Linked DNA regions of Coturnix japonica. The protein of the gene in region 1 purifies or fractionates together with the protein of each later gene. This does not show direct contact. Links are inferred from orthologs where the notes say so. Each region holds a gene or a part of one and is shown on either strand. Other genes may lie near its edges.

Region 1 (3,653 bases):
GCCATGAATTAATTTGCTTGCATTAATATCAAGCTTCTTGGTATCTGGCCTTTTATGGGCTATAGCAGTCATGCTGTGCCAGTGTCATTATCTCAGCTCTGGAATAGCCCAGATTCACCTGAGAAGTTGTTTCACTTGGGAAGTCCTGGAACTTCTCCAGATATGTGTTTGGCCATACACAGCAGTGACTTAACAGAAAGGTAGATCATTAACTGATAGTTTAGTTGTGACCACAGCAGAACATAGAGGTAACTACAGTAATAGCAACTGCTGGTGTTAATATAGCAACCAGCAGCCAGGGATTGTTGGGTTCTAGGTGCTATTCTATCCCTAACTTGCTTTGAAACCACATAATTCCTGCTTGAAATATTTGCAGGATTTTGAAACCCAAGAGCACTCTGGTTCTGTCACTGCTTTGACAGGGTGCTGTGTTAATTTAATCTTCTAACTTGCACTAGGAAAAAATGCTTGTTGGAAGACAGTTTCTGTCAGGCTTCCTAGTAAGCCCAGAGATGGTTTTGAGATAGAGTGTGTATTCATGTGCCTGAAGTCAGTCAGACAAACCAGACAAAAGTTTTAATTTATGGAAATATAGCAGCTTGAGGGGTTTTGGGTTTTGTTTTTTTACAGTAATGTGTAAGCAATTGAGACTTACCTCTGTCTTGAACTCCAACCAGTTGATATTCCCATGCAGGCCAAATAATAGATTCTATAGAGCACCAACCACTGGTGCTCTGATCTATGTCAGTGCCTGTAGCCAGTGCTCAGAACAAAAAGACTTGAAATTATTAGTCTGTGCTTATCAGCTGCAGTCTGCTCTCGACTTGCGCTACCAAGAAATGTTCTGTTCCCTGTGGCATCATAAAATGTGCTGCATGTAATTCATGTACTTTGCAGCAACAGCTGGTATTATGAGCTGTATTAAAAGCTAGACAGGGAGCCTTGCTCTGAAGATCAGTTCCTAGGGCTTTTTTCTGACACACTTAGCACCAAAATCAAGACTTTGTAGTAATATGTCCAACTTGGAGGGCCAACACACAAAATATGTTTTCTCTTAATTGAAGGTCAAATGCCTGCAGTATTTTTTACTCTAGGTTAATCTTTGATAACTGTAACTAGCATCCAGAATTAATTAGCCTTAAATACCTGTATTGTTTCATGAGCTGGTGTTGTAATAGCTGTACTGTTGTAAGTGGTGTACCTCATCAGCTCTTGTATTTTATGCAGGATAGGAGCAAACAAAATAACTAGTGAAGGAGGGAAGTGCCTTGCCCAGGCCATCCAGAAGAGCACAACCATGTTTGAAATCGGGTAAGTTCAGTGCTAAGGAGAGTCCTGATAAATCTGTGATCTGTGAGAATATAAAGGAATTCCACATCATCCTTCTGTCCTAAACTGGAGAGCTTGCTATTGCTGGAGAGAGGTCATAATGAAAACATTTAGTCCGTGCTCTTTCTTAGGATTGATGCTAGATGCGAGAGTTTGACTTGTTCCCTCTGGCAATCCCCATTTTCTCTTTCCACTCTGCAGGAGAGCATTCTTCTTAGAATGTAATGCTGAAAGGAATTAAAGCTTTTCTTTGGCCATCATCACAGTAACACTTAAATATGAAAATCGGGTTTGAACGATCAGATTTTGGCCTTTTATTTTTGTTCTAAAAGATTTCACAAATATAATTAACATCACGCACACTTCTGTTGTCTCCCAGAGTTGCTCCTGTGCTGTGGCCTTCTGGTACTGGTGGGTTAGAGAGATAGATGGTGCAGTGTGCAGGGAGCAGAACAGGCCTGGCTCAGTGGGATGGTACATGCCAGGCTTCTTGCAGCTCTCAGAGGCTGGGGAGTAATGTTGGGGGATGAATGGGGAAAGGAAAAGAGAATGCAGGCTGAGGGGCAATAGAGCATTGTGTCTGATATCTCCTGGTTTCCTGTCTTCACTAGGATGTGGGGCAATCAGGTTGGAGATGAAGGTGCAAAGGCATTTGCAGAGGCCCTGAGGAACCACCCCAGTCTGACAAACGTGAGGTAAAACAGCAGCTGAACTCGCCATGGAGCTGCCTTTCCCAGTGCTCTGTGAAGCAGTGGCTCTTCAGACCTTGGGCCACTATCTCGTGCCATGGTCATTGGCAATTGACTCTTGGTGCAAGCAAGAGGCCAGGTTGTTTGAATTGAAAAGCCCTGTGCAGCCATAAAGCAAAATAATTTTTTTGCATAAATTTTTCTTATTATCCAACCTGAACTGAGTAATGAGATGTAGTTCTCGCTGGAGTTCAGTAATTAGACTCTAAGTAGCCCTCTGGAGGCCTTAAAGTGGGTGAAGTTGGCAGCACAGTATGGAGTGCAAGCAGCACTGTAAAACCAACACCTTCCCTGCTAGGATTACAGATCCTGACTAGGGATTTATAGGTGTGGATTGTGGCTGCTGTTGATGCGGAGTTCATCCATCCAGCTGGAGCACTGGGATCGTTCTCTTCCAGTTCCCCCGGCCTCCACGTGAGGGAGGAGAGGAGGCTCCTGGCTTTCCCCACTAGGTGGCACATGGCATTGGTTTCTGAAGCAGTACCGGACTCAGGGATCTCTCCGGAGCTGCCATTTCAGAGCCTGGGATTTCAGAGCTGGTGCCTTGTCCTCCTTTCAGTGAGCGAACAGCCAGGCTTAAAAAATTAAAAGCTGAACAGGTGCAATGACCTAGATATATTTAAACTTAAAAGCTACCAGAAGTAGCCATCTTCCCCTAATTGCAGAAGCCATCCAGCTGTATCAGACTTGAAAGAGAACAGTTGGAATCTGAATCAAAGCTGTGTTGCATCTGGGATTCTCAGACAGATACGCTGATGAATGTGCTTGCAAAAATAAGGAGGAGCAGCTTCAGGCTAGAGCCAGGTTTTGCTGGCACCTGCACAAGGTGCATCTTCTGCTCTGCAGTGTGATTGCACTGGGGTTCACTTCTTGTCTTCCAGTGGATAATCCTGCCCCATTATTTGAATGCACAGACAGTACCAGATAACTGTGGCAGCTTTATGCAGAGGTGAAGGAAAGCTGGGCCCTGATACAACATTTTACTTCTGTGTCTTTGCCATGCTTAGGCTGAGAATATATGGTTTCAGCTGAAGCTGGGAATACTAACACATATGCTAGACCTTAATTGATGCCATTGCTCCAATTCGTCCCCTTTTTGCCTCTTTTTTGAGGCCATGGGCTATTTTCAGGCTCTGGCCTGTCTTCTAAGGATGGAAATGCTTTTTGAACTCTCAGAGCCTGAAGCATAAGTTACCTGGGTGATTCTGCCAATGTCTATTCAAAGAATGAAGGGCAGACTAAGAAACTTTGTGGTTTATAATGGAAAACATGCATTTACAGGCTTTTATCTCCCTGCACAACAGAAGGTATTGTGTTTGGAAGGGGAATGGAGCATTTAAGTGTCTGAACACCTCACTTAAAGGAAAAAGTGCATGGTTTGTAGTGGGAATTGGGATGACAAAGGAGCATACAAACCTATAAACTGCAAAGCACCAAAGCACTTTGCTAAGGGCCACAGCTTTCAAAATCACAGCTACAGCTCTGCTGTCAGTCCCAAAAGTCAGTTTGCTCTCGCTGACCACAAACCTTATGGTCTGTGTGACAGACCTGCATCAGGCTGCAGCCTGTGAACTG
Region 2 (3,653 bases), about 75 Mb from region 1:
GGGGAGACTTTATTGCTCTCTTCAAATACCTGAAAGGTTGATAACAGGGAGAGCAGGGTTTGTCTCTTGAGGGGAAATGGCCTCAAGTCATGTTAGGGGAGGTTTTGGTTGGATATCAGGAAAAGCTTCTTTACAGAAAGGGTTGTTAAGCACTGGAATAGGCTCCCCAGGAAGGTGGTTGAGTCACCATCACTGAATGTGCTTAAAAACCATTTGCTTGTGGTGTTCAGGGGACATGATTTAGAAGAGGGTTGTTAGAGTTAGGATAGTATGGTTAGGCTGTGGTTCGACGTGATGAACTTGAAGGTCTTTTTCAACCTGTGCAATTCTATGATTCTATATTATTTCAGTAAGTGTTGGTAATCTAAAATAATGTCTTCTATACTTTTTACACTTTAAACAGTTTTGCAATTATTATATGGGAAGTGATGTCAAGGAAACACCCATTTGAAGGTAAGGCCATGTTTTCTTGTAATTTATTTTTCTAGCTTTAGGTGTAGGCTGTTCCAGTGACCTGGATTCCTCAGAACTTCATTTCAGGGATTGCTTCATGATAATCCTATTTGTGAACCTGTTCAAGAAGTAATTGAGTTACTTCTCAGATTTGACTCTTTTTCAAATTATAATATTGATAAGAAAAAAATGTATTTGAATTCTTTTAAAAGAGGAAAGCCTTATTTTGGTGAAATGTAAATATTACGACTGCAATCTTAATTATTCTTCCTACAGTGAGCTATTTATTTTGCATATATTTCTAATGAAAGCACGATGTCTATTTTGACAGAAGTTATAAACCCCTTGCAGATAATGTATAGTGTGTCACAAGGACAGCGACTAGACTTAAGTGAAAAAAGCTTATCAATGGACATTCCGCATCGAGCTCTTGTCATAAGATTGATAGAGAGTGGATGGGCACAAAACCCAGATGAAAGACCATCGTTCTTAAGTAAGTTTACTTTGCAAAATGAATACAGTTCTTAAAATTGCCAGCTTTTTGTCTCATTTATTACATATAGAGTAAGGGTGTAGTTGCTAAATGGAAATGACAAAAATGTCAGAAAATTCATCTCTGCTCAGTCAAATTGTGTGCAATTCTTGTCTGGTTCCAACATGTGTATCAGCTAATTTTTACGAACGGAGCTATGTGTGCCATAATAACAGTTTGTTAGTTGGAGTCTCCTACATGTGCCGTCTCTTGTTGAAGGGACTTTTTTATTTATTTACTTATTTTCAGAAGAGGGAGGAGAATGAGTGAAATACATAGAGTGCTGTGGGTTTTGTAAGAGCTGGCAAAGCAGCAAATCATTGCACATCAGATGAGCTGCTGTAACTTCACTTTATTTCTGTATGTTTGCATGGATGAATCTTTTTCACTCGAACTTTGATTGTTGAGGCCACAGAGGTACCTTTTAATCTTTCTGTAGTTTCTTGTCTATATATAGGTAACTTCAGCCTTTTTCCAATGAATTATGTAATTTAGAGCTGAAGATTGAAGAGTGAGCTTGCAGAGATTAGCATGGCATGTTGTTAACTAGAGAAATTCTGTTTTGAAATCAAGCCTGGGTTTGTCATGCTTAACAAGCATGTGCACTGAGCCTAGATATACTCCCTATACCAGTTTCTCCCTAATATGAAAAGCTGCTAAATATTTTTGTGATTTCTGGCTCTGTGTGCAACAGCAGCTCTATAAAAACATAGGCTGAAAGTCATCACCAAGTTTTTAGTTGTGAAATCTTATTAGGGTTGGCATAGTCACCAATAGAATCATAGACTGTCTAGGCTGGAAAAGAACTTCAAGATCATCCAGTCCAACTGTCATTATGATCTATTCCCATCATTAAACCATGTCTCTTTGTACCATGTGTAAAATCTCCCTGATATGAAAGGAGTATTTCATCCATCCTCTTTATCAACAGCAATTATAGTATCTTGTTTTTTCTTTTATCCTAATCCTTTTATCCTCGGTATAAACAATATGTTTCATTACCTGAATGCTCACGTTTCACTCTTCTAGCTTTTGCTGTATTCTACCCCAAGATCTGGTCTTCAAACTCGATCAGATACATATAAGTGCTTTTGAAAAGCTTTTCTTTCACACAGTATATAATGTTTTAATTTGATGCAATGCTTTAAAATGGCTTATTAGCCTTGCAACCGATCTTCTTGATTCTTGCTTCTCTGCTGCCATCATGGCTTCAGTTCTCCTCCTGCCTCTTAGCTATTAATTATAATTCAAAATCTGGACTGAAAAAAATAAACTTGTCTTAGAGTTCCACATTATTTGAGAGGAAGCTGGGAATTCTGGGTTTGCTCAACAGTCATCTGCTAAACTTTTGGATTCTTTTTTGAAATAAACCTATGAGTTGTATATTGCTCCTTACAAGTAGAGTGGACATTAATCCAAGCACCTCATTTGAAGATTTGCTGAATGAAAGCTTGCTATTTTTAAACCCTTTATAAAACTTCAGTATACTAGAATAATGCTAATCAGACAGCTAAGAAATAAGTGGTTGTAACTTCACTCTTCGGACCAGTTTTGCAGAAAAATAGAACTAAACAGAATGCAACCAAACAGATTTATCGTCTTTATGTTCAAAGTTTGGAGTCCGAAAAGAGTTTTGTCCACTTTTGAAGCATTTTTTACTTTGCCATAAAAGTATTCTCTGAAATGTTAATTTATTTTGTATGAGTCTGGTTTATATGGTATTAAATCATGGACTGTTTAATTATTATTTTTTCCCTGAGTAAGTAAATCTATTTATAATATTTTTAAAAATAAAACAAGTAAACATGTCACAGTACTTCCTTTAGTATTCTTGCTTTCTTATGTCTGTTACTCAAAATAAAATGACAGCCCAAGTCTATGGTCACACAGGAGGAGTAATTACCTGGGATAGATGTACTGTATGAACTGTCTTTGGTTCTATGCAGTACCTGAATTAATGTGGTCTTTGAAGAGAACATGCGTTGCTTTCCCTTTACTATCATAAAAAGAATGAGGAAGTTAGAAATGTTTTTCAAAATTAAGGGAAGTGAATTTCACTGATTGGGAAATTTTGCATTCACCACAGCACAGGGAAAAAGAAAGTAACACCCAGCTTCTCCCCCCCCATCTCCCCTCCCTTCCTTTTTAAATATGCTTAAAATAGAAATGTTTTCTTAACTCATCTGTCCCTTATAAAGAACGGACAAAGACTATTTATTCCCCTGTTTCTGCATAACTTCTGTTGATTCTGTGGTCTTGGAACACGTACCTGCAGTTTAATTAAAATCAATAAAAACTGTCCTAGTACTTCATTGTGAAATGGAGTACCAGATTCTGTGTAAGCTGATGCAAGAGAACAAGAATCCCACTACTGAACGTATGTCTTGAAAGTGCCAGTTAAACAAGAGCTATTCTGGGAGAACTACAGTGAAACAGTAAAAACTATGGTAATACATTAATAAGATGCAGTGCCACAGGTTCCTACTACAGTAAATGGATTTTGATGAATCAGTGGAGTTCATAGGAAGTGCACTAGAAGTTGTTACCTGTTGTTATCCTTTCCTGAAGTTTGAGCACAGCTTCAAGGAGACATTTGTGTAATACCCACCTCAAAATGTGAAATAATTTGTTTTGGAAATCTTGTAGCATTGGGAAATGAGGGACCATC

Evidence for each region.
Region 2: the proteins of NOD1 (region 1) and RIPK2 purify together in Homo sapiens (affinity purification with western blotting; 4 studies listed by BioGRID and IntAct, with this or other methods). This does not show direct contact. The link is inferred for Coturnix japonica from reciprocal best matches to the Homo sapiens genes NOD1 and RIPK2.

What each region holds. Positions count from the first base shown.
Region 1 is NC_029517.1:37,977,571-37,981,223, forward strand, and holds part of NOD1 (nucleotide-binding oligomerization domain-containing protein 1), read left to right. Parts: intron 1-1,227; coding exon 1,228-1,311; intron 1,312-1,940; coding exon 1,941-2,024; intron 2,025-3,653. UniProt on the Homo sapiens protein: Pattern recognition receptor (PRR) that detects bacterial peptidoglycan fragments and other danger signals and thus participates in both innate and adaptive immune responses.
Region 2 is NC_029517.1:112,519,044-112,522,696, forward strand, and holds part of RIPK2 (receptor-interacting serine/threonine-protein kinase 2), read left to right. Parts: intron 1-403; coding exon 404-453; intron 454-784; coding exon 785-946; intron 947-3,653.